Schizosaccharomyces pombe: one gene and its partners. The protein of the gene in region 1 binds, or shares a complex with, the protein of each later gene. Each region holds a gene or a part of one and is shown in the gene's direction. Other genes may lie near its edges. The genes, in order: psf3, psf2, sld5 and psf1.

What was found.
Region 2: psf3 (region 1) and psf2 share a complex: the UniProt entries of both Schizosaccharomyces pombe proteins name them as parts of the GINS complex.
Region 3: psf3 (region 1) and sld5 share a complex: the UniProt entries of both Schizosaccharomyces pombe proteins name them as parts of the GINS complex.
Region 4: psf3 (region 1) and psf1 share a complex: the UniProt entries of both Schizosaccharomyces pombe proteins name them as parts of the GINS complex.

What each region holds. Positions count from the first base shown.
Region 1 is NC_003424.3:525,668-531,428, reverse strand, and holds psf3 (GINS complex subunit Psf3), read left to right. Parts: upstream 1-2,552; 5' UTR 2,553-2,657; coding exon 2,658-2,756; intron 2,757-2,803; coding exon 2,804-2,862; intron 2,863-2,887; exon of another isoform or gene 2,888-2,968; coding exon 2,969-3,103; exon of another isoform or gene 3,104-3,159; coding exon 3,160-3,305; exon of another isoform or gene 3,306-3,364; coding exon 3,365-3,426; 3' UTR 3,427-3,647; downstream 3,648-5,761. Other genes in the region: saccharopine dehydrogenase Lys3, read right to left, coding at 1-907; SPOM_SPAC227.17C (uncharacterized protein), read left to right, coding at 1,263-1,628; protein phosphatase regulatory subunit Reg1, read right to left, coding at 5,562-5,761. UniProt on the Schizosaccharomyces pombe protein: The GINS complex plays an essential role in the initiation of DNA replication.
Region 2 is NC_003423.3:1,226,199-1,232,144, reverse strand, and holds psf2 (GINS complex subunit Psf2), read left to right. Parts: upstream 1-2,957; 5' UTR 2,958-3,117; coding exon 3,118-3,669; 3' UTR 3,670-3,837; coding exon of another isoform or gene 3,838-3,979; 3' UTR 3,980-3,997; downstream 3,998-5,946. Other genes in the region: orotate phosphoribosyltransferase Ura5, read right to left, coding at 419-1,066; acetylglutamate synthase Arg6, read right to left, coding at 1,352-2,854; nbl1 (borealin N terminal domain-containing protein), read right to left, coding at 3,838-3,979, 4,051-4,219, 4,269-4,383; CCAAT-binding factor complex subunit Php2, read left to right, coding at 5,231-5,946. UniProt on the Schizosaccharomyces pombe protein: The GINS complex plays an essential role in the initiation of DNA replication. Has a role in chromosome segregation and is required for bir1 localization.
Region 3 is NC_003423.3:2,910,447-2,915,995, reverse strand, and holds sld5 (GINS complex subunit Sld5), read left to right. Parts: upstream 1-1,700; 5' UTR 1,701-1,775; coding exon 1,776-2,420; 3' UTR 2,421-2,524; downstream 2,525-5,549. Other genes in the region: pop4 (Rnase P/MRP subunit), read left to right, coding at 401-905, 978-1,126; nhm1 (m7G(5')pppN diphosphatase), read right to left, coding at 2,625-2,833, 2,880-3,067, 3,209-3,414, 3,457-3,768; SPOM_SPBP4H10.19C (calreticulin/calnexin-like protein), read left to right, coding at 4,531-4,605, 4,684-5,549. UniProt on the Schizosaccharomyces pombe protein: The GINS complex plays an essential role in the initiation of DNA replication. Has a role in chromosome segregation and is required for bir1 localization.
Region 4 is NC_003423.3:2,011,232-2,016,796, forward strand, and holds psf1 (GINS complex subunit Psf1), read left to right. Parts: upstream 1-4,130; 5' UTR 4,131-4,268; coding exon 4,269-4,877; 3' UTR 4,878-5,065; downstream 5,066-5,565. Other genes in the region: DNA-directed RNA polymerase I complex subunit Rpa2, read left to right, coding at 1-412; alp5 (Ino80, NuA4 and Swr1 complex actin-like protein Arp4), read left to right, coding at 1,831-3,132; serine/threonine protein kinase Ppk32, read left to right, coding at 5,164-5,188, 5,339-5,565. UniProt on the Schizosaccharomyces pombe protein: The GINS complex plays an essential role in the initiation of DNA replication.

The sequences.
Region 1 (5,761 bases):
CTGTAGGATGATCAAATGTAGTGTTTACATTATAAATTGGAATAGGATTGTTAGGATTGGTAGTGTCACAGCTAACATCACAAACAACACGCAATTTACGGTTAGGTACATTTAACGACTCGACGGTACAGAATTTGGGAATAGGCATGCTCAGATAAATGCAGTTAACAAATATGTCTGATTCCGTAATTTCGGTAAAGGGACCACCCTTCTTAGTTTCATTAATGTCCCAGCGAAGAATGTTATCGAAGGGAATACCAATCTTTGATGCTAAATCGCACGCTCCAGTACCACAACGACCAAGAGCCCCAATAACCAGAATACGAGGATACTGGTTGTTATTCTTTTTCAAAGCTAAACGTACTTGACGAGCAACATGGCGAACCAAAGATTTTTCGTTGGGGAACGGACGGATAGCAGGGAATTGTTTGTTAGGATGCAATAATTGATGTGCCCAAACTAAACATGAGATAGCTGATCCAGCAAAACCAGCGTGGTAACCAAAAGCGGCAACACGTCTGCCATTGTCATCTTGCAAAAATTCCAAATCATATAGAAGACCATTGCCAGCGGGGAATCGGGACAAGACTTCACGCCAACCTTCCTGGTTTTTGTAGCAATGAGCAAATTGAATATGAGTATGCTTCAAAGGACTGTTATCATTTTCCGGAAGCTCTTTGAGACCAATAATGTACGCGTCCTTAGGTGCATGTCGCCATGAGCCCTCAGGAACCATGGGGAAACCAAGGCGCTCAAATTCTTTGTCCTTGAAAGCACGTTGGGAAGAGCGCTCAATGGTAATTTGAAATCCAGCATCGGCGAGTATCTTGGCAGTTCTAGGAGTCAAAGCACTGCGCTCTTCTAAAGGTTTGGTTTCAGCACGTAACCAAAGATGAGGAGCAACCATTTTGGAACAGAAAATTAATTAAATATATATTTTTAAATCGAAAAAGTATTTCAACGTTTTTAAAAACTTCCCTTTCTAAGTTAGTCAAAAAAATTTAAACTAACAAAATGAAGACGTGGCGAAGGAGACCAAAAACTTAATCAAATAAGTTTATATACTGCAAATTGGCAAAATAATATAGATCAATCTCGATATAAATGAGATCAAATTTGATGCGGTCAATTTACAGATCAGCAATGATATGAGCAGAAGGGATCTTGATGGATCTAATACGCTACACAGGTTCAGTGGCAGTCACGTTAGCTACCTATCCTAGGCACAATTCACTTGATTTTTACTAGTATGCTTTTAAATAATGAATAATTTTAAAGAAAATGATGAAAAAAGCACTTTTGGTCAGTATGCGGAACTAGATAAAATACTCGACTTGAAAAAAGGGATTCCTGAGGATCCGTGTAGTTTACAGTATTACTTTGACCAAATGGCCATGTGTTTAACAGTGTTCTCACAAATGAATCATTACTATCGTTATGGTGAATACAACAGATGTAAGGGAAATTTTAAAGACTTTAAATGGTGTCTGTCAACCAAGTCGAAGGCTCACGAAGAGGCTCAAGAAGGGCTTCGTAAGCGGCGTCTTCAGCAGTGGATGAAGTTTAGGCAAGGGCCGAATAGTGAAGACATTTGGAAGATGCGTACTTCTCCAAAAAGTAGTGAATAAGTTTTTAACGTTTCGTGCTGTGTTCACCAAACGTCGATATCAATTCTTACGAAGGCATCCATTTGTTGCGTATAACATTGGGGGAATAGCATATTTGATGATGTCTTGGATGTAAAGTTCCTGTATATCCTAGTCTGCTTAACCTTTGAAACTAATTGTTTATAGTTGGCGGGGTACTTCTATTTAATTTACCTTCCAAGTAAACTCTGAGTTCTCTTTAATTTTATGAGTAACTAATTAAACGAACAACAAATTGTTGCTTTGATTTTACAACATTGTTTGGCAGCAGGTTGATTATTTACTCAGGTAAAGATTGCTGATAAACTCGAAGGTGTTGACATCTAAAGTATGGATTAAAGCGTATATGACTTGATGAACCTGTTGATGAAACTTGGCGAATAACTTATGAAATTTGGCCTATGTCGGTGTTAAAACCTTTTTGCATTTGGAAATGACATACTAAATAATTAATACGCAAAATAATTTTGAATACAATGCAATCATGTTTTGTAGATTACGGACTAAAAATCATTTAAAAAAATCAGTTTTACGGAAAGATTGTGTAAATTTTGATCGCATAATGAGCAAGTTTCATAAATAGGTATAACATTCAAACAAGCATATGCGTTTCTTTAATGAAACTATAGAACAAAGTTTCCTTTTTTTAATAAAATTTTTCGACCAATTTCAGAAGGACGAATATACACATGTATGACATACTTTTCGAGTTAAACATTGAAGCAAATTTTTAGTACTCGAACATACAATATTTATCAGCACTAATTTTTTGAACTAGATGCTCTGTTAAGAAAAGTAAAAATAAATCTTTTTTATCTCTATTTTTTTTGTTGATTAGTACTGGTGTAATTACAGTTCATTATTTATCCACTATATCTTAGCCAACTCAAATTTGAATTTATCGTTGCATCTACCTACTTTTACCTTGTAACTGCAACTTTTCTAAATGAACATATTTTGATAAAATAACAATAACACTTCTATCATTCCTTCTGCTCAGACATTAAAAAAATGGATTACTATGATATTGATAGTATCTTGTCTGAAAATCAAAAGGTTCCATGTACTAGTACAGTTTCCATTCCAGGACTAGGCCATGAAGGGCGTATGGTTAGTGAAGTTTATAAAAATAGAACTTGACTTTCTAAACAGTTTAGGTTCCTACGGGCTCTAAAGTTGAACTTCCTTTTTGGCTGGCAGAGGTTTTAGCAATTAAGTAAGTAAAGTTTTTTTTTTTTTTTGGTTTTTTCTGCATGTTACATTATATACATGTAATGTCTTATAGAAAATTGGATAATTTTGCTTATTTGCTTACTTTATAGTTCTTTTGTTAGTATTCATATGCCAGCACCATTTTCTTCTGTAGTACGAAATGCATTAAAGGCGAATCCTAATAGTGTATCTATTCGGGACATAACCACACATTATTACCATTTTGCCGAGAAAATGCTCCATTTGTAAGTCAAACTTTACACGTTTTTCTCAAATTCAAAATCTTACTAACTCATTGTAGAATATCAGACGACAGCTTGGTTCAAATTTCCCTAAACACTTTACGTTCCAGAGCAATGCTGATTGCAGATGCGTCCCTGAATCCTCAAGGTGCTTTACAACAAAACTCACAATTCATTGAGGGTTTGGATGACTTTGAGAAACACAGTATGTTCATTCTAGCCTTTAAAAGATTCAGTAGCTAACAAAAGCTCGTGCTGCCACAGTATTGAGAGTATCACATAATGCCCATCGATCCCTAATAAACTGGCAAAATTCCACTTCGTAGTTGATTGCATGCTGCGAGACGAAATTGCTACCCAGAATAGCACGCTAATCTATATGTGAAACACTAAATGAGTGTTGATCGTAAATCCCTTCTGTTCAAAGAAAAAAGAAAAGAATCCTTAACATATACTTGTTCAATATTACGTTTACTTACAAAATTAGCTTTTGTTTGTCAGATTGACATTTTCATTTATGATTAACTTTATAAAAACTCTAGAAGATTCAAACTATAGAACTAAAAAATGTTAATAAACGAACCGACACTAAAAATTAGAGGTCGATATATAAAGTACATTCAGAAAAAGCGCCTTGTCACAGGCAATCTTCGTCAATGTAGAAACTACGTAGACCGTCGTGATTAAAGTAAAAACATCATGTGAACTAAAATTCGACCTCAAGCTGATCTACTTACCTATACAAAACAGCCTCCTTAACTTCAGTGTATCTAACTAGTTTAAGGTCTTGCAAATACGTTAGAAAAGTTGTTTTAACACGAAAACTTAGGACATGGAAATATATAACTTTAGGTTGTCTATAATCAGACGCATTTCACTTCTTCAAAACCAATGGCATCAGACATATGCTTGTCTTTGAAATTTAATAAATCATCCTAATAATACCCTAAAGTACATATTTGAAGTCTAGTTTTCAATTAAGTTTTGGATACCTTTCATGAATAACCTATAATTATGTTAGTAAAATATTGGCATAGATTTAGGTTAAAAATTTGTTCTCTCAGTTAGCATGAATGGAATTTTAAGAGTCTTTTCTTCATATTGAATCAGACTCGTCATCTAATTATTCCTCATTGAGAACAATTTTTCTCATATCACATACAAACTAAAAGGTATGTATTAAATCCATGATTAAATGATTTAAATACTATAATATCAATATGCTAGACTGCTTCAGTTAACTAATGATGTTAATAATAGGAAAATCCCATAAAAAAAGTTGTGATATTGTAATGGATCAGCATAATTGCAGCACATTTATTCTTCAGCGGAATAGGAGTAAACTATTCCTAGGCCGGTAATTCCAAAAAAAAGTTTTTTTCATCTTTTCCAACACAACATAAACAATTCTTTCAAACACTTACATTTGACTTTTAAGAAAGAAATTTATTGCAAAGTTTAAACTGTATCATAACTAAATTATGTTAGCATAAGTGTTGAAATAACCAAAATACAGAAGGAAACAACTAAACTCAGCAAGAATTTGAAATCATAAATTAATCAGAAACTCTAGTTTGTATTTTAAAAAATGGTCATCAAAGATCAGGAGATTCCATCTGTGGTTATAGACACATACCATTTATTAAAGATACTCAAGTTAGGATTTTAATCTAAGCTTTGTAGTTGGTAAAAATTTGGTTTAGATGCAAGAGAGTCACAGCTTATATAGAAATTTTGTTTAGCAAAAAAGTAGTCCCAACTAACAACGCCGTATACTGGCATAAGGTAATACAGTACAATACATTATCATTTAATCCTTTTTGATAATATAAAAAAATGTATTTTAATCTAGCATGCTTAGTATTTACTACTAAAATCACGAACTATACAGACAGTTTCTGGAAAAGTAAATTAAATGCTCGTGACAGAAAATCAGATTTTATTAAAAGGATGAATTTTATGAAGGTGTACACCAATATGAACGCTTGCAACGAAAAGCGAATATAAAGATTGTTTTAATAGAATTCATATGAATGCTAAAAAGAAATGAGAGCGGATAGACGATTTCGCACCATCAAAAAGTAAGGTCTTACTGCGAAATATAAAACACTTTTGTAAATAAAGGCCCGTAAGAACAATGTGTAAAGATGTAGATTTTCATTTAACTTTGGAATTAGTGGGTATGTTATAGTAAAGACTTGATTAAGTAAATTAAGGATCACCGGCGGAAGTAATACAACATTCAATGCGCTATTTAGAAAACCAAGATAAACTCAACTGCATACAAGTATTAATTTACATTTGAAAGAAAAATTTTCAAAAGAAAGCAAAGTCAAAAAATTTTGGAAAAAAAACAATGGTCTGTTAACGCTTGGCTGTTACCATAAATCAGATGTCACATCACTTCAATAAAATAAAAAGCTCCAGATTTGAATAATTATTTTTTGAAGGCATTTCAAAACTATTCGCGAAATGATTTCAAAGATTTTTGAAACAAGTCCACTAACCAATTTGAGGAGATTGGTTCTTCAGAGTTATCGTTCATTGAAGTCTCGTTGACTTCAACGTCACTAGTGTTGTTTGACGGATTCCCGTCATTATTGGTGCTATAAGGGTTTGCGTTCTCTAAAAAAGCACGAACTGTTTTACGAGTAGTAGATA
Region 2 (5,946 bases), on another chromosome or scaffold:
TTGTGAAACATTAATTATCCCTCAACTCAATATTTTGGTAGCTTCATTCCTAACTGTCATCTTGGAAAGATTCGAATAACACAAAAGAAGAAACAAACACAAAAAAAACAGATTCACGGAACTAATCAAAAGATAGATGGATATGTGCAAAACAAAAGCTTAACAAGTAAACCAATTTCCTTCGTCTATTATAGAGAAATTTTTGAATACCGCTAAATGCAATCGCTTTATAGAAAATTCCTTCTAATATGAGTTGTATCTATCACCACAAATATACAGATAAAAAAATTCTATAACATATGTAAATACCAACTAACTTCACTCTCTTTAAAAAAGCAAAGCTAAAAACCAAAAAAGATACTTATCCAATTATTCTCTTTCCTCCTTCCAAATTTTTAAAAGAAACATTACCATAAGCTCATTTGGCTTGGTACTGCTGTCTGTAAGCATCCATTGCCTTTGATTCAGCTGCAGTTAAGTCTGATTTGGTAAAGTCAACAATGTCGTCCAAAGTAAGGATGGAGGAAACGGGTAAGTTAAGCTCCTTCTTCAATCTACCAATGGTACTTTCGTTTACTTCGGGGTCCAGTCGCTCTTGGCGGTCAAGCAAAAGGACGATACCAGCCAATTTTACGTGCTTAGGTTCTAAGAAGGAAATTGCTTCACGAATGGCAGTTCCAGCGGTAATAACATCATCCAAAAGTAAAACCTTTTTACCTTCCATTTCGGCGCCTACAAGGTTACCTCCTTCACCATGGGACTTGGCCTCTTTGCGGTTATAGGCAAATCCATAGCTCTTTCCAGTTTTTTCATAAAGTTTGACGGCCGTTATAGCAGCCAAAGAGATACCCTTATAAGCAGGACCAAATATGACATCAAAATCAACGTTCATAGCGATAATAGTCTCGGCATAGGCTTCTGCAAGAGCGCATAAATCGGCACCATGAGTGAAATTACCAGAATTGAAGAAGTATGGAGATTTTCTGCCTGATTTTAAGGTGAAAGTTCCAAACTTCAAAACATTATGTTCTAAGGCACGACGCAACAACTCAAGTTTATAAGACATGTTTACTACTAGTTTTGTTGATAAACGTTGATACTCACAAAAGAAAAAAGCTAGTATCACCTTTTCTAAGCTCTACATGGGGGTTATGTGGGGGAATAAACAAAAATCATAACTAAAGAAAAATGCAAGTTTGTAGGCAAACTACTCAATCTATAATCTAATGTGCAAAAGAGAATTAATGTCCTATCAAAATGGACTTTTTTCCTTTTATTAAAAAGTTTGACAAGTGCTTTTGAAGAAGCGAAATAATCTTGTCTCTGATAAAGTGCAATCGTTAACTTCCACTCAATTCAACCATGTTGGCTGAATTTTATCAATAACGCTCATATACTGGTTCACTCGATCCAAATTTCTGACATGTGAGTCTCCAGTCCAGAAAAGTTTCCAAGGTGTTTTGCTTGACTTTAAGGAGCCTACACTTCTTTCAAAGTACCATTTATTGACTGGATTAGTCAGGCGAGAGCGCCATATCAACTCTTTGGGAAATAAATCAGTCATAACATTAAACATAACATCAGATATTGCTGCTGAACCCTGGGCTCCTTGTGAGACGGCAAGCTTATCAAGATAAGGGACCTTTTCATTCGTTGTTCCATCTGGTTGTTCATAAGTTACAATGGCTGTCCCTAAATAGTCCCCTGCAATAATGACTGCAGCTAGCGAATTCTTCAACCTATCTAAATATGCGTCCATATCAAGCGTTCGCTTAAAGGAGTCATTAATTAAAACCCAAAGCCTTTCCCACGAAACGGAGCCATCAGTTAGACATTTCGGACCTAGGAATGTATATACCGGTACACCGCTACGCAAAACAGTTGTTTTCGTAATAGGAGATCGATCGCGCGGCAAGGAACATGAAATAATAGAGCGATCCGTCAAAACATTGTGAATTAACGGATTTTTGTCTAAGACAGGATTTGTAAGCATAGCATCCTCAGGCGTAGTGATTAGAGCAGAGGCATCATCCGGTAACATTTTCAAACAGCGTCTTACCAAAATCAAATTTTTTCTATGATAAGGTGGAAGTGTTTTCGCTAACTCGTCAAACTCTTGAGCCAGATTGATGAGAACATGACTAGAACCAGTTTGTCGTTTAGAACATGGCATGCCACCATTTTTATCAAGAATGACGATTCGGTCTACCCAAAACCCAAAGTTTGGCTTGTGTAACGAGTAAGTTAAACCAGCAAGAACCTCATTACCATCAATTGGAACCTCAATGACGTTGGGCATTAAAATCGAGCTTGGCACTATGACCGTGTAAAGTGAAGACAGCGCTTGAAAAATACCTTGCACATTCTCAACACTAGGGCCTTCAGGGCCCAATTGACATACAGAGGAGTAGCTAGGACGGGTTAACACTCCCGCTTTCGAAAAAATTTCCGAAACTCGAATGACTCTATTTTGCTGTTGCTGTAGCTCCTCAAAGATTGAAAGTTTACGTTTTTTCGCTACGACCGTACCATTCTCCAAATATTTAAAAGGAGATGTCATGCCAATTGGATTGGAAGTGGGAACAATCACTGATTGAATCCCTAAACGTGCCAGGCTATTTATACTTCGACCAATTCCATATAGGGTATTATCACTTAAAGAATCCACATCATCAATTTTGGTAATAGAAATTCTGTTTAAAAACGAACTCGATATTGGCTGAGCGAAGGATTTCTTGTTGGGAGAGCCATCCTTAAGCGAAGAATGTTTTTGCAAAAACCCTTTCGTAGACCTACGAGATTGGACTGATTTCAATATCCAAATAAGGTCTTGTGACAATGAAGGTTTTTGCATTCAAAATTATTACCTTAAAACGAGAAATATAAAAATTTGACAATCATATACCGATGACCTAAGAGCAAGATGTGATTTAGATGAGGGTGACTATTATGAGTCCGAAACCCACCACACAAAAAATTATGCTGTAAGGAATAACAACCAATAAATGCTATAAACGAACTCCAAAATAGAAAAACAAAACTTTAAATAAAAAAAGACATTAAGCCCAAAAACGGTACTATTGATAGGCATTTTTGTACTGTTCGTTGGTGATAGAGATGGCCTTACCAAGGGAACTTGAAATTTCATTCTCACCAGAGGAAATGGAATTTTTAGCTGGCAATGAGTATATTAACATTGTTCCTTCAGAAACAATGGATCAATTGCCGCTAGTTAGCGCGACGATTCCCATTATGAAGCCTCCCAAAAAATGTCGGGTTCCTTTATGGTTGGCTCTTGAGCTAAAAAAGCAAAATTTGGCAAGGATTGTACCTCCGGAATGGATGGAAATAGGCAAACTTGAAAACATACGAGATGATGAATTGGAAAACGAGACATTCTCAGAGTTGCCTTTTCGGTGGCTAGAAACGGCGCATTTATTGTTAAACTTCTGTGCTGATGATATCGAGGATGTTGAGGATATCAGGAGGATTTTGCTGGACATTCGAGAAGCTAGACAAAGTAAAGCAAGAACGGGATTGGAAGCCATTAATGAAGTTCAACTAACTTTGGATAATTTGGGTGCAATGGAAATTAACGAAATACGTCCTATATTTCGAGAGGTGATGGACAGAATGCGCAAAATTGTTCAAGTTTCCCAAGAAGAATGAGTTACTCATCAAAAGTAAAGTGGGAAATAAATGGACTTCACATGAGAATATTTCGGTATCGTGTGGATGATGTACTTTAAAAATAATGATAATGAATCCTACGAAGTGTTTATGAATACCAACTTTGTAGTAGTGAAATTTTATCACAGTAAGCAGTAGATGAGGGTTTCACACTTGCGACTTTGAACTCGATTTGGAAACGGTGGTGCTTTTTGATGAAGAAGAAGAGGAGGATGCCACCGTTTTTGTAGGTTGTCTAGCGGACTTTTGGGAGGAAAGCTCGTCTAGATTATAAAATTCTTTTATTTTTCTGAAATAGTAATTAGCAATTAGTGTTTCCAGTAGTACGTATGGCAAAGTAAAATTTGATATTACACTTACGTTCTCCACGGTGTGGCAGACACATTGCAGGAAAGATGGTTCTTTAGATCGCGCAGATGCATATTTCGTTGAGCGCGAGGAATAGCGGCGATACGCATTTCTCCTCGCATACGAATTGTTGAAGCAAGTAAACTAGCGTTTGAGCGCAAACGTCGTACTTTATCGGAAACTGAAAAATACCCGTTAACACTTTACTACTTCCAGGTACAAAAACTTACGTTCAAATGCTAAATTTTCAAGTATATCGTTCTTGTGTTCTTGGAGAATTCGCTGTCGTACTTGACGATGTTTCGTCTCTCCAAGCTCTTCCACTCTTTTACGCTTGTTCATCATTAAGCATTATAAATTATCAAAAAACAAAACAGATGTTTGCTAACAGCTGATCAAAAGACGGTACTTCTGGGTGCGCTGAAAAGGTGGTGGGAATAAGAGTTGTTGTATAAACAATAAATCTTCAACTAATATGTAAGTAACATCGTTACCTAATACTCAATATGTAAACAAACGTTAGAAAGGAGAGGATTGCACAAAAAAGCGTACCCAAAAGATATTTTATAAATTGAAAGAAGAATAATGACCTAGAATTAGAAAAAAGCAGCAAGTTTACAAAATAAAAGCGTTGAAACACATCACTTTAAAAGGTACATAAGAATTGATGATGCTTACTTCTAAGTAAATTATTAATAATATCAAATAAAAAAATATTGTACGAGGTAAAAGTCTCCCTCTTCAACTACATCGCATACAACATTGAAAACTGTTTAAAAAAGATATTTGGTATAACGTGTTCCAGTGCCATACGCTACAATGCAACCTCTGTTGTATTATATTTCGACTGTTAGCTTTTTTTTAACCCAATTCATAAGAAAATAGTTATGCCATTCAGTTAGTGACATTATCATATGTGTACATAAGATTATATATTCGTTTGTGACAAAATGCACTGCAAGCCGTCCTCACTATTTGCAATCCTGGAAAGATCGACAATAATCGTTATACACATTTACCGATATGTAAAGAATAGCTGCTTACCATTGGTAGTCGCTAGCGCCTGCGGAGTTACAAACCACCTAAACCAACCAACCGACCAACGAGACGAATATACCGTAACGAGCAGAATTTTGATTCCTGAGATCCTCCCAATAGTTAGAGCAATTGAAATAAGAATAGTCATTTTCCAATGAATCCATATGAGCCGGTCGAGGGGCTTTACGTGAATGCAAAGCAATACCATCGAATTTTGAAACGTAGAGAAGCTCGCGCAAAGTTAGAAGAGAGATTGCGTGGTGTGCAGACTACGAAAAAACCATATTTACATGAATCAAGGCATAAGCATGCTATGCGACGACCTCGTGGTCCTGGTGGCCGATTCTTGACTGCTGACAAAGTATCAAAATTGAGAGCGCAGGAAGCTGCAGAGGCAGCTGCTAATGGAGGAAGTACAGGAGACGATGTTAATGCCACAAATGCCAATGATGCCACCGTGCCTGCAACCGTTTCTTCTGAAGTGACTCACACGTCTGAAGGATATGCGGATAGCAATGATTCAAGACCTAGCTCTATCTCCAACTCGTCTGAGTCTCCAGCTCCTATCAATTCTGCCACAGCATCTATGTCTCCTGCTAACAATACTTCTGGAAACAACATTACTTCTCCAAATGTCAGAGGCGAGCTAGACATGAGTGGTAATATTGCCATGTCGGGTGGGCCCACTAATACCGCTTCCACCTCGGGGCCAGTGCCTCATGATATGACAGTGCTCCCACAGACCGACTCAAACACATCGAATCTTATGTCCAGTGGTTCTCAACTAGGCAGTTTTGCTACAGCTTCTACCAATGGCAACAACTCTACTACTACTACTACTTCGTCAGCTGCTCATCCAGGGTCATTTCA
Region 3 (5,549 bases), on another chromosome or scaffold:
GTTTTATCTTTCAACTGTCTATTAAATAAACTTGTTTTTGTGACTAATCTACACTTGTTTATTCATATCATCTACTTAAGAGAATGTACTGAGTACAGAAAATGCTTATCGCAGTCTAACGATGTTTTGTAATTTTGCAAAGTGTATATGACCTTGATGGTATATATCTTTAGTCTCTAGTGGGGTAAAAGTTCTCAAACGGGGGCCAAATTGTATTATTACTTTGGAAGTAGTATCTTGCTGTACAAAAGTATAAAAAAAGTCTCACATATTACCTTTACCACCAAATATCTAGACTTGCCAAATGGAGCAATTTTCGTAAAATAATACAACAGATATAACTTGCTATTCCTTTAATTATTATTACCTTTACGTTCAAAAGACAATCCATTTGTACTGAATGGCTGATCCACTATACTCTTCGTTGAAAACTGTCAATTCAACTTCTAAAGTGACACCCGAATCCCTGGTATTTCAAACAAAAATCCTAACACCTGAAGAGGCAAAAAATGTTATAAACGAAAAAATTGCTTTCAAACCGCTTTTACTTGTCCCTTCTCTAAACTTAGAAAAACAAGGAGATCGAAAAGAGTCGGTTGCTTCAAAGAAAAGGAAAAAGTTGTCTTCAAAGGAGAAAAAAAAGCTGCAATTAAATGTTGTTCCAAAGATTGCTGACTATAGCCAATTCAAACATTTACATTCCATGTGGTGCTCTTACATATTAGAAGTGATAGCAGGATGCACAGGTGAATCTTTAATGGCCAAATTAGCAAAAGCAGAATATCAAGGTGCATATATGCAAGTTCTTCGGAGTAAAAGTACTACGCGAGTCGGACTTGAAGGTATTTGTATCCACGAAAGTAAACATATGCTCTCTTTAATTACTAAAGAAAACAGGGTTGTTCGTAAGTACCATTTTCAAAACATTGTATTTTGAAAAATATCTTTGCTGAGTAACTTTTTACTAATTCGTCTAGGTGTTCCCAAACAAGATTCTGTTATGAAAGTTATCGTTGATGTTCCCCAAAGGAAACTTGTTTTTGAATTGTATACTCAACATTTACTATTGAGAGCAGGTGATAGATCGAATAAGCGTTTTAAATCGAAAAATACAATAGATCTCTGAAAGTTGTTAATTACGTGATTCTCTTAGAGAATCGTACTTGCGATTGATTGAAATGGAATACTAGAGTGGTTTCTTTTTATTAGTGTATATATATTGGCAATTTCGTACAAATACTTAATATTGCTTACAGAGCACGCAGTGTAGACAATAACTTGTTCATACTTGGCAATATTGTATGTTTGCTGTATATTGTAGAGCTTAAACGACGCCAGTCTCTAAAATACTTTCAGAGCACAGATCTTTTTCCATTGTATTTATTGATCCAACATTTTAATACTAATTTTCGTTTACTGAATTTCTAAAGTATAAGTGATAAATCGCGCCTTTATGCAATTCTTCGCTATAAGATTATAGCCTTCGATTTTTTGATTCACGGGCAATAATATAAGATGTTACTGAAGTGTACGATAACTAAGACAAGTGAATGGAATGCATAGGATAAAACGAAGATTATGTCAAAGTCGTTTAAGAGCAAGATATGCTTTTGGGATTTTTGTTTGAAAAGGGACGTAAGTAACTTGTTACCTCTGCAATTGGACTGATTTAAGTGCTATGTAAACTACTAACATATCTTGAGTAAAAGCTTGTAGCTTTACAACAAGGTCTCATTTGCCTTCGTGATTTGAGCATCCTTGTATATTTTTTATGGATGGAGTGGGATGCTGATGATTTGCTAATAGAACCGACAACAGAAGTGGAGAATGATTATGAGGATTTATGTACTCAATGGGTGAATGAGCGAATGGCTCCGGATTTGTTGCCTTTTGCTGAAGAAATTGTAAGCAGAGTTCTTGATAGAATTGAAGCACAACGAGAAACTCTACAATTGGCCATTGGAACAAGTAGTGCAACTAGTTATAGGAGCGTACTAATGCAAACCGAACTTGAGCGAGTGAAGTTTGTTTTACGCTCGTATATGCGAACTCGAATCAATAAAATTGACAAATATGCTCAATACATTCAATCACATCCTAATTTATTGTTGTATTTGTCATCTCCAGAACGTCAATATCTTTTAAGGCACCAGCAAATAGTACATCGTCATTACATGGATTCATTTTTACGAGAAGTTCCTGCAAAAATGAATAAACTTGATGATAAGGTCGGAAATTTATCAATGGTAGCATCACCTGATATGGATACTGCCGTGTTTTGTGTGGTCAACGAGTCAGTCGAAGAAAACTTTCGAGTTTCAGAAAATGAGTATATAACTCTCGACAAGGGAGATGTTTTGATTCTTCGGTACTCTGTTATTTCTGATTACCTTCGACTTGGTGTTGTCTCACTAATATAATCCCGGCTATTAATTAATTACTACAATATTTCACAGGCTGTAGGTTGTACTGGATTGTTATTTAAAGTTGAATTTTCGCATGTAAATGTATAATTTGATCAACAATACAATATCATTATCTCTATTTTATAAGCTTCAAAAAGGTATAAATGATTTATCTAACTGATGTGATCAGTTTCAACAGTTTGGCAACCATATTTTCAATCAGGCATTCATATTAGTTAACGGTTGGAATAGAAAATGTTGTTCGCCAATGTTGAATGTAATATTTACATTTTCTAAACCATCCGGGGAATTGCGAAGGCGATCAATAACATCGTCTAAAAGAATTGCTCGTCCTACAGCAGAGCCGTCTCCAGTTTCATGGTCAACATGCAATATATGTACATGTAAGTGGTAGTAGGAAGGTAAATCTAGAGGAATGTCAGTAAACTATTTTGCTTTTAAATTATAACATACAATGGACAAACATCTTTAACTGATTTTTATCTACGGAAAATTGTTTTGGGACTTCTGTCAAGACTTTATTTCGAATGTTTTCTAAAAGAGGAATATGCTTATATTTCAAATCACGAATACTTGCAATATCCGTTGCGTGAACAATAGCCATTAAATTCAGAGCAGACATAGTTTGGCGATCCCACTTTCTAATTTTTGTTAGTAAACTTACAAAAGAACTTATATATGGTAAAACATGCACCCAAGTACCAGGGATGACTATTGCTGATAGATACAATTGGCATGCATTTAAAGGATGCAACTAATAAACCATTTTGAGTTATTCTTACAGATCAGGAATGACAATAAATCCATTCAGGGGATCCGGATCCTCAACGACAATACGCTCGGCCTCAGCTTTATGAGTAAGGATGTTTTCAACCCATTGAATTTGAGGACCTCTTTGAGTTTCAATAAACGGCTTAGTGACTTTTAGATACATTTCCGGCGTTTCACACACCATTCTCTTTTTTTGAGAAGAATATTTTCGTACATGCTACATACGGTTAATAGAGAGGAAAAATTGGTATTTTCTTACAGTCTCAGAAGCCGGCCAAATTAGTGTGGACTTCACAGAGGGCAATGTAGAACAATCTTGAAAATTAGTGCTTAGAAACCAATGAAAAACATCATTGTTTTCTACGAGTTTAGTATCTTGTAGAAATGTTGCCAGTTGGTCAAGCTTTATCGTGTTCAAATCGAAAGCTGTTTTTTCGAGCAAAAGTAATGCTACTTCGTTTCTGATTTTTCCGTACAAGGTTATTATTTTGCTTTTGGTATCATCTTTTAAAATTTTTTCGAATTTAAATTCTTTAAGCAGTTGTATTTTCGCGGCAGAACTTTCTTCCATTTTAAATTTGTCTCTTCTTGGGTATAAAATATTTAAACGTCCGTTATGTCTTACCGATAGAAGTAAAAAAATCCAAAAAGATTGAGAGGTACAACAGCTTTTGAGATGCTGAGACTAAAGAGCTTGTTGCAAGGCTTTAATAGGTTGATTCTACTACATAATATTTCACTTACAACAAAAAACTAAATAGTATTCGTAAGGTTAAAGGGAAACACGCCTTCTTATATAGTACCTAAAACAAATACAAATTATAACTATCAAATAATTTACTCTAAGTCTTAAAATCAAAATTTTTTTTTCTGTCAGACACCGCTACATAGAATCTTAATATCGTAGTGACCTAAAAAATTACAAAACAAACCGGTAATATCACATGCCTAGAGTTACTTCAAAATGTATATTGAGAATTTAAAATTGTGAAATAATTAATATATAACACAAACATTAAATCTATAAAGTAGTTATTTTCAATACTTATAAAGCTATATAAACATCTTTTCGTACGCGGTTGCTATTTATTCTAGTAAGACACAACTCGTACAACCTTTTAGACATTGACCAACCCGAATTGAAACCGAACCCTTATTCACAATTAGCATTTGTCTATACCTAATTGTTTATTTTCTCGTTTACGTTTATTATTTACAGGTGTTATATTTTTTTTAGTAAAGTTTAAAGGTTTTTTTTCCTTTTTTTAAGAATCATCTTTTCCTGTTAAATTCGCCTTTTGGGGAAGGAGGGTTAAGGTTAAAAGTTACGAATATGCAAACCCTTCTTTTCTACTTTTTTTTTATAAACTTGATTTTTGCCCACGATCTCAATGTGAAGACATACAAAGTAGGTGGTTTTGTTGCCATCAAATAATTGTTGATAACTGGGATTTTTGCATTATTTGGTTACTAACTTATGTATTAGCCTTGTACAATTCCTTCCGTATTCTCTGAACAATTTACTTCTGAAGACATCACAACCTGGCGCTCTCGATGGCGTGCTCCAGTGAACAAAGATTTGGGGGTTTGGGACTTGGTTGAAGCACCAGGCTCCCACTTAAGAGATGAATATGGTTTAATTACTTTGAAAAGTAATAAACCTCATATTCTTATAAGTAACCTAGAAAATCCTACTACTCGACAATCGTCATCAGTACCAATTGTATTATCATTTCAAGTTAAGCCAACTAAGCCGTGGACCTGTGGACACGCTTATGTTAGTTTGGTACACCAATCAAACCCAAAGAATGTTTCAAAAGAGCCTCCGTCGGTGATCAGATTTGGCGTGAAAAAGTGCGGCATGTTTGACTACATTTCATTGTCTATAATTAGCTATGATGGTAAAGTTTCCTGTCATCTGTATGATGCACCGCCTTCTGGATTGGTTGAAGGAAGAACCAGTATGTATACTCTTTTGTTGCAGAATACAACCGTAGTTATACGAAGAGATCAATCTGTTGTTTATACAGGAGATGTAGGGACGAATTTTTTCCACTCGCCAACAAAATGGATCACTCATAGTAACGTTTCGAATGGATACTATACAAGTAGAAACATCATGTCCTTTCTTCTATCAAATAACACCAACACGTCGTCATATCCATTTAGTGTTAATGGCGTAGAATTGGATGTTTGGAACGAGAACGCTGGCGTGTTTATAAACAATATATACTTCGGATTTTCTTTATCGGATGCTATGAAATTTGAGAACGAAACTTTTATCGCAAAAAAAATACTTGAAAACAGCCCTTGTCCCAATCAACCTAGTATCCAACCATTTGGGATATTAAT
Region 4 (5,565 bases), on another chromosome or scaffold:
TAATCTTACTCGTCAACCCGTCAAAGGTCGCAAACGTGCTGGTGGTATTCGTTTCGGTGAAATGGAACGTGATGCTGTTATCGGTCATGGCACATCGTTCTTGATGCAGGATCGTTTAATGAATTGTTCTGATTATGCCCAGAGCTGGGTTTGTCGAGATTGTGGGTCTATTATTTCTATCATGTCTACAATTTCGATGAATGGCGTAGGAAGTGCCTCAGAAGTCAGGTGCAGAAGCTGTGCCAAACCCGCTTTGGGATTGGAAGATACCAGTGACATTTGGCAGGATGGTAGCGGAAAGAAATTTGTCGGCGGCACAAATACTACGTTGATCGCATTACCCAGTGTTTTCAATTACTTGACGGCGGAACTTACTGCTATGAATATTAAAATGATGCTTGAAGTTAAATAGATTAAAGTGTTGAAAAGAGTATTGAAATTAATATATTCGCTTTCAACTTCTTTAAAAAAAATTTTTTTAAAAGGACTGACAAAATGCCATGGGTGATGTGTGTATTTTCAGTTCCATTTGATTCTGTTTTCTTTCGCAACAGGTTTCTGATTTTTGCTTCGGATTACGTTTTGCATATAAAATTACTTATTGTTTTGGGGGAAGAGTTAATAAAAAAACTTATATAGAAAACTATAAAGGTAGGTCTAGGTGGACTAATAATAAATTGATTGATTTTTATCTTTTTGATTAAGAAGCGGCTAAGACATAATTGACAAGAAAAAGTTTATTATTAGATGTCTTTTTGCTTTAAATTGTATTATATATTGGTTAATAGATACTTGATACCAAAGAGTGATCGAATGTTCAAAGAAGCAGATTAATCAGAGGTTGAGATCTGATGCAAATTCGTGAGCACACATTCGTATGGAGAAAAGAGAATTGATATCTTATAATTTTAAGAACAGCTCAACTACAGAAAATCTATGCACTCAATTATAAAAAATACCTATTCGCATGGTTCACATTTAAGAGCAGCATAATGACGAATTACAGAAACCCACGCTAAATTGTATTTTGTGCTTCATTATACTATATTAGATAACCGATATTTAGTATAGTGTGTAAGCTACGCAGTTTGGTATCTGATTTAAGGATACGTAGAACTGCGGTGAGTTTTCCTTGTGATCTATTATATTACAATACACAGGTTGTATGAGTAGCAACTGAGTATAGGTATTGTATTAACTGGGTTATAATGTTACCTATCACTAATATAGCTCATAACTGAACTGAGGAACGAGGTTCGGCTGTAACGCTATTTCGGCAACCGATATTAATAGACTTCATATAACAATAAATATACATTGTTAGTTAACATACTGCATACCGCTATATTGTAAGTCGTAAGAGAAACTCACCGTAATTCTATGTATCGTTAAATATATACCAAACTGCGTAGCTGACTATAGCAAAAAACTCAAAAAATCACTAAATGAATTTGTTTATTAGGAGCATAATAATTATCTTTTCAACTATTGTGGATTTCTTGTACAATTGTTTTTTTTTGTGCTATGAGCCCAATCTTTCATATGAATGCTTATTTTTGAAAACCTAGTTTACTTGACGCGTCTATTAAAAGCTTGAAAATTAGCGACATTCTCGTTGCATGAATGCTTAAAGAATGCACACTTTTCTAAATGAAAGTCTTATTTTTAATTAATTAAACCAACTAAATAAAATAGGAAAGAGTGATGGGTATTTTTAAGAAAAGCCGTTGGCGACCTATTTCATGATCTCAACGATGCGTCTTGTCCAAGTGCCAACGACAACTTTTGCCTGAGAATCTTATCACGTAGACAAACTGTACTGCTGGTAAGATGACTAGCGCATTTTATGGCGGAGATGAAGTTTCAGCTATTGTAATTGATCCTGGAAGCAAATGGACTCGAATAGGTTTTTCTGGAGAAGATATTCCCAAATGCGTACTCCCTAGCTACTGTGGAGAGTTCAGTGATGGCAGACGGTTGTTCGGTGAGGAATACATATATAAATCAAACCCTGGAATGGAAATAAAAAATGCAATTCGTAATGGTTGGGTTGAAAATTGGGATGTTACTGTAGATCTCTGGCGTTATGGATTAGAGCAGCAGTTGAAGACTAATCCTTTAGAGCATCCAATCTTGATTACGGAACCATTTGATAATCCCCCAGAAAATCGAGTGAAAACACTAGAAACGATGTTTGAATCTTTGCGTTGTCCTGCAACATACCTCGCCAAGCAGGAGACGTGTGCGGCGTTTGCAAGCGGGAAAGGTACTGCTTGTTTAGTAGACATTGGTGCGGAGCGTAGCTCGGTGTCTGCTATATATGATGGTTTTGTGCTTCAAAAAGGCTATCAGGTTCAACATTTTTCTGGGAATGCAATTAACGATATTTTGGCGCAAACTCTCAGGGATAAGAATTTCGAAGTGATGCCTAAGTACTTAGTGAAAAGCAAAAATCCAGTGGAGATAGGGCAGCCAGCTAATTGTGAGTTACGTCCTCGTGATACTACAGATTCTTATCATCAATTTCAGGTCCAGCGAGTCTACGATGAATGGAAAGAAGAATGTGCTCTCATTTCCGATGTTCCATTTTCATCTGAAACCACGATTGCTGAATCAGAGTTCGAATTTCCAGACGGTTCCCGTATGATGTTTGGCGCGGAACGCTATCAAATTCCTGAACATTTGTTTGTGCCAGGAAGTGATGAAGAAATGAACGAGGAACCTTCGAAGCCAATAGAACAAACCGAAAATAATGAGGTATCACAACAAGATTCTTCGGTTACCAACACTTCTTCTCGCATTTTGGGGATACCTCAGTTGTTCCAGAACTGTATTTCGGAATGCGATGTTGATATCCGTGCTTCTTTGCTCAACAATGTTATTGTTTGTGGAGGCACTAGTTTGATGCAAGGATTCTCTCTTCGTCTGCAAAATGAACTTTCAAAATTATATCCTGGCAGCCGTCTTAAAATCCATGCTTCCGGTCATGTTGTTGAACGCAGTTATGCTTCATGGTTAGGTGGATCTATTTTAAGTAGTCTTGGAACGTTTCATCAATTATGGATATCACGTCAAGAATATGAAGAACATGGTTCTGATCGTTTGGCTTTAATCGAAAAACGATGTAAATAATACGTGTAATGATAATTACTAATCTCTAATGAACCTTTAATTAAAAGTCGTTGGATTTTAGGGAATTTTCCTTAAGTGGAAAAAAAGGGGAAACTTTCGTTTGAAATAAAAAATAATTGAGATATTATTACTTTACGTATGAGACTCTTTCCCTGTCCTTATACCTATCATTTGAAGAGAAAATATTGGATCATGTATTTTGCTATCATCAATAAGCATCAAAAGTTTTGTTTTTGTAACAGATTGTTACTCTGGACTGGTTCGTTGGCTCTTTGTGATATTCATGCTATTGAATTTGTGTAATCTTCCGCAGATTATACATAAAGCGGATTTTTTTGAGTACGGCCAATACATCGATTGGATTTTATGTTGTAAGCAGAAAAGAAAGTCTTACTGACAAAATCATTTTAAGCTACATTAAAGCTCAATTATTTGAAGCTAAATATGCCTTGCCATTTTTTGGATATGAGTGATAGGTTTTAAATTGTACCCCTTTAGATTCTAATTTCTCATCAATGTGATTGTTTTATTCCCTTAAAGCCCTGTCCGATGAAGCAAGCACATCGTACTGTGTTCTGAATATTACGTGAGAATTGTAATCATTGAATGATATCCTTTCTTTTATTTTGAAATGAAACTTTATCTGGTTTCTATAATTTTAGTAGCAATGATTTGTAAGTTGATAATTTGAAGCTTCGTTAAATCATCTCTTCATTCCATGTGTGACGATGTGAGGAACTCGGTTTAATGATACCTTTAGGGCTCATTCAATCCTTTGAATTAGTATACATTACTTTATGAAACTGAGGTAATCCAAGTAAGTATACGCTTCATTTTAAATCTGTGTGAATGTTTAAATAATAAATTCTTAAAAATTCGCATAGTAGGTTCAACTAATAATTTTGTTATAAAAGATCCATGTTTTATTTACAGTAAAATTTCTACTAAGGAATGCATCATTATGGTCTTATGAAAGACATGTCATTTTCCAACGACTTGTCATCCACAACCATTCAATATAGCTTTAAACAACTATCGAGTGTCGTTGTTAATTATACTAATCCGTTTCTTTTAAACTAAACATAATTAGGAAAATCTGTTTAAGCATATCGTGATAGTTAGTGCTTCTAATCACTATGGAGAATGGTTTGGGGAATCGATCAAATAAATTAATTCGGGACTCAAAGCGAACTCAGTATTTAGATTATCTCCCACCTTACCAAGCGGACACCGTTAATGATGTTGTCAACGAAATTCGTGCAGCAGATCGCGAAAGTCTAGGAATTCTTCAAAATGTTACACATGAGGCTAGTCAACCTTTCCAGCCCCAGGACCATCCTTCTGAAGCGGCAGCTCTATTGATGTTTCATTCTTCTAGTATCTACAATAAGCGATGTTTAATGGCTTACCATAATTTAAGGCTGCAGCGGCTTCGTCAATACTGTTGGAGCGGAGGCAAACGAATGGAATCTTGTTTAGATACATCTCTAAGTACTTATGAGCGTGACTATTTAACGAGATATTCAGAACTTTTGGCTGCTTATAAAGGCGCTTGGTCCGAGCTGGATTTGACTGGTTCTTTGGTTCCTCCTAAAAATTTGTTCATAGACGTCCGAGTTTTGAAGGACGTTGGAGATATTGAAACTGAATATGGTACTATTAACCTTACTAAAAATTCACAATTGCATGTGCGTGCTACAGACGTTGAACGACTCATTGCCCAAGGTTTTTTGGCTAAGTTATGATTATCAAACTAAAAAATACGACTTTCTTATAATCTTTAATTAATTGTCTTTTTATTTAATCCTCTGTTTCCCAAATAAGAGTTTCACTGCTTTTTGAACTGACCCTAAAAATTTCATCCATAAGCCATTCATTCCTACCATCTCCACTGTATACTACCGCGAAAAAAAGGTGTTCAATTTTTATACTTGGTTTGCTTCGAAGGGATTCAAAAATAATTATAATTTTTTCTTTTTGTTTTTGTTGTTTTAAGTTGTTTTTTTCCAAAGCCATCCACTTTTTCAGCTTATGTTAGCCAATGCACTTCGACTAGGTATGCTATATTCCTTGATAAACTCGATTATCAGCGCTGTATGAAAGATTGTAGTTATGTTTATGTAATTGATCATCCTCATCGTCATTTCTATAATCTATTTAGATACATTTCGTATCCCAAGTAAGTATTCTAACGTTGAATGTTTAGTATCAAATTCCAAAAAAATTAAATATGATTATGATATCCAGAAAGAAAATTCAGTCCAAGTAGGTCCTTGGACTGTTTATTCGGCATCCAAAAAGGGAACCAACGAAGAGGTTTCAGTGTTTACATTTGATAAAAAGAATTTGTCCACCTTACTAAAACGCGGGTCTATTGACTCCAATTTGAAAACAAACTATGTCTTAGAGCTTTTAAGAAAAGATGTGTCTTCT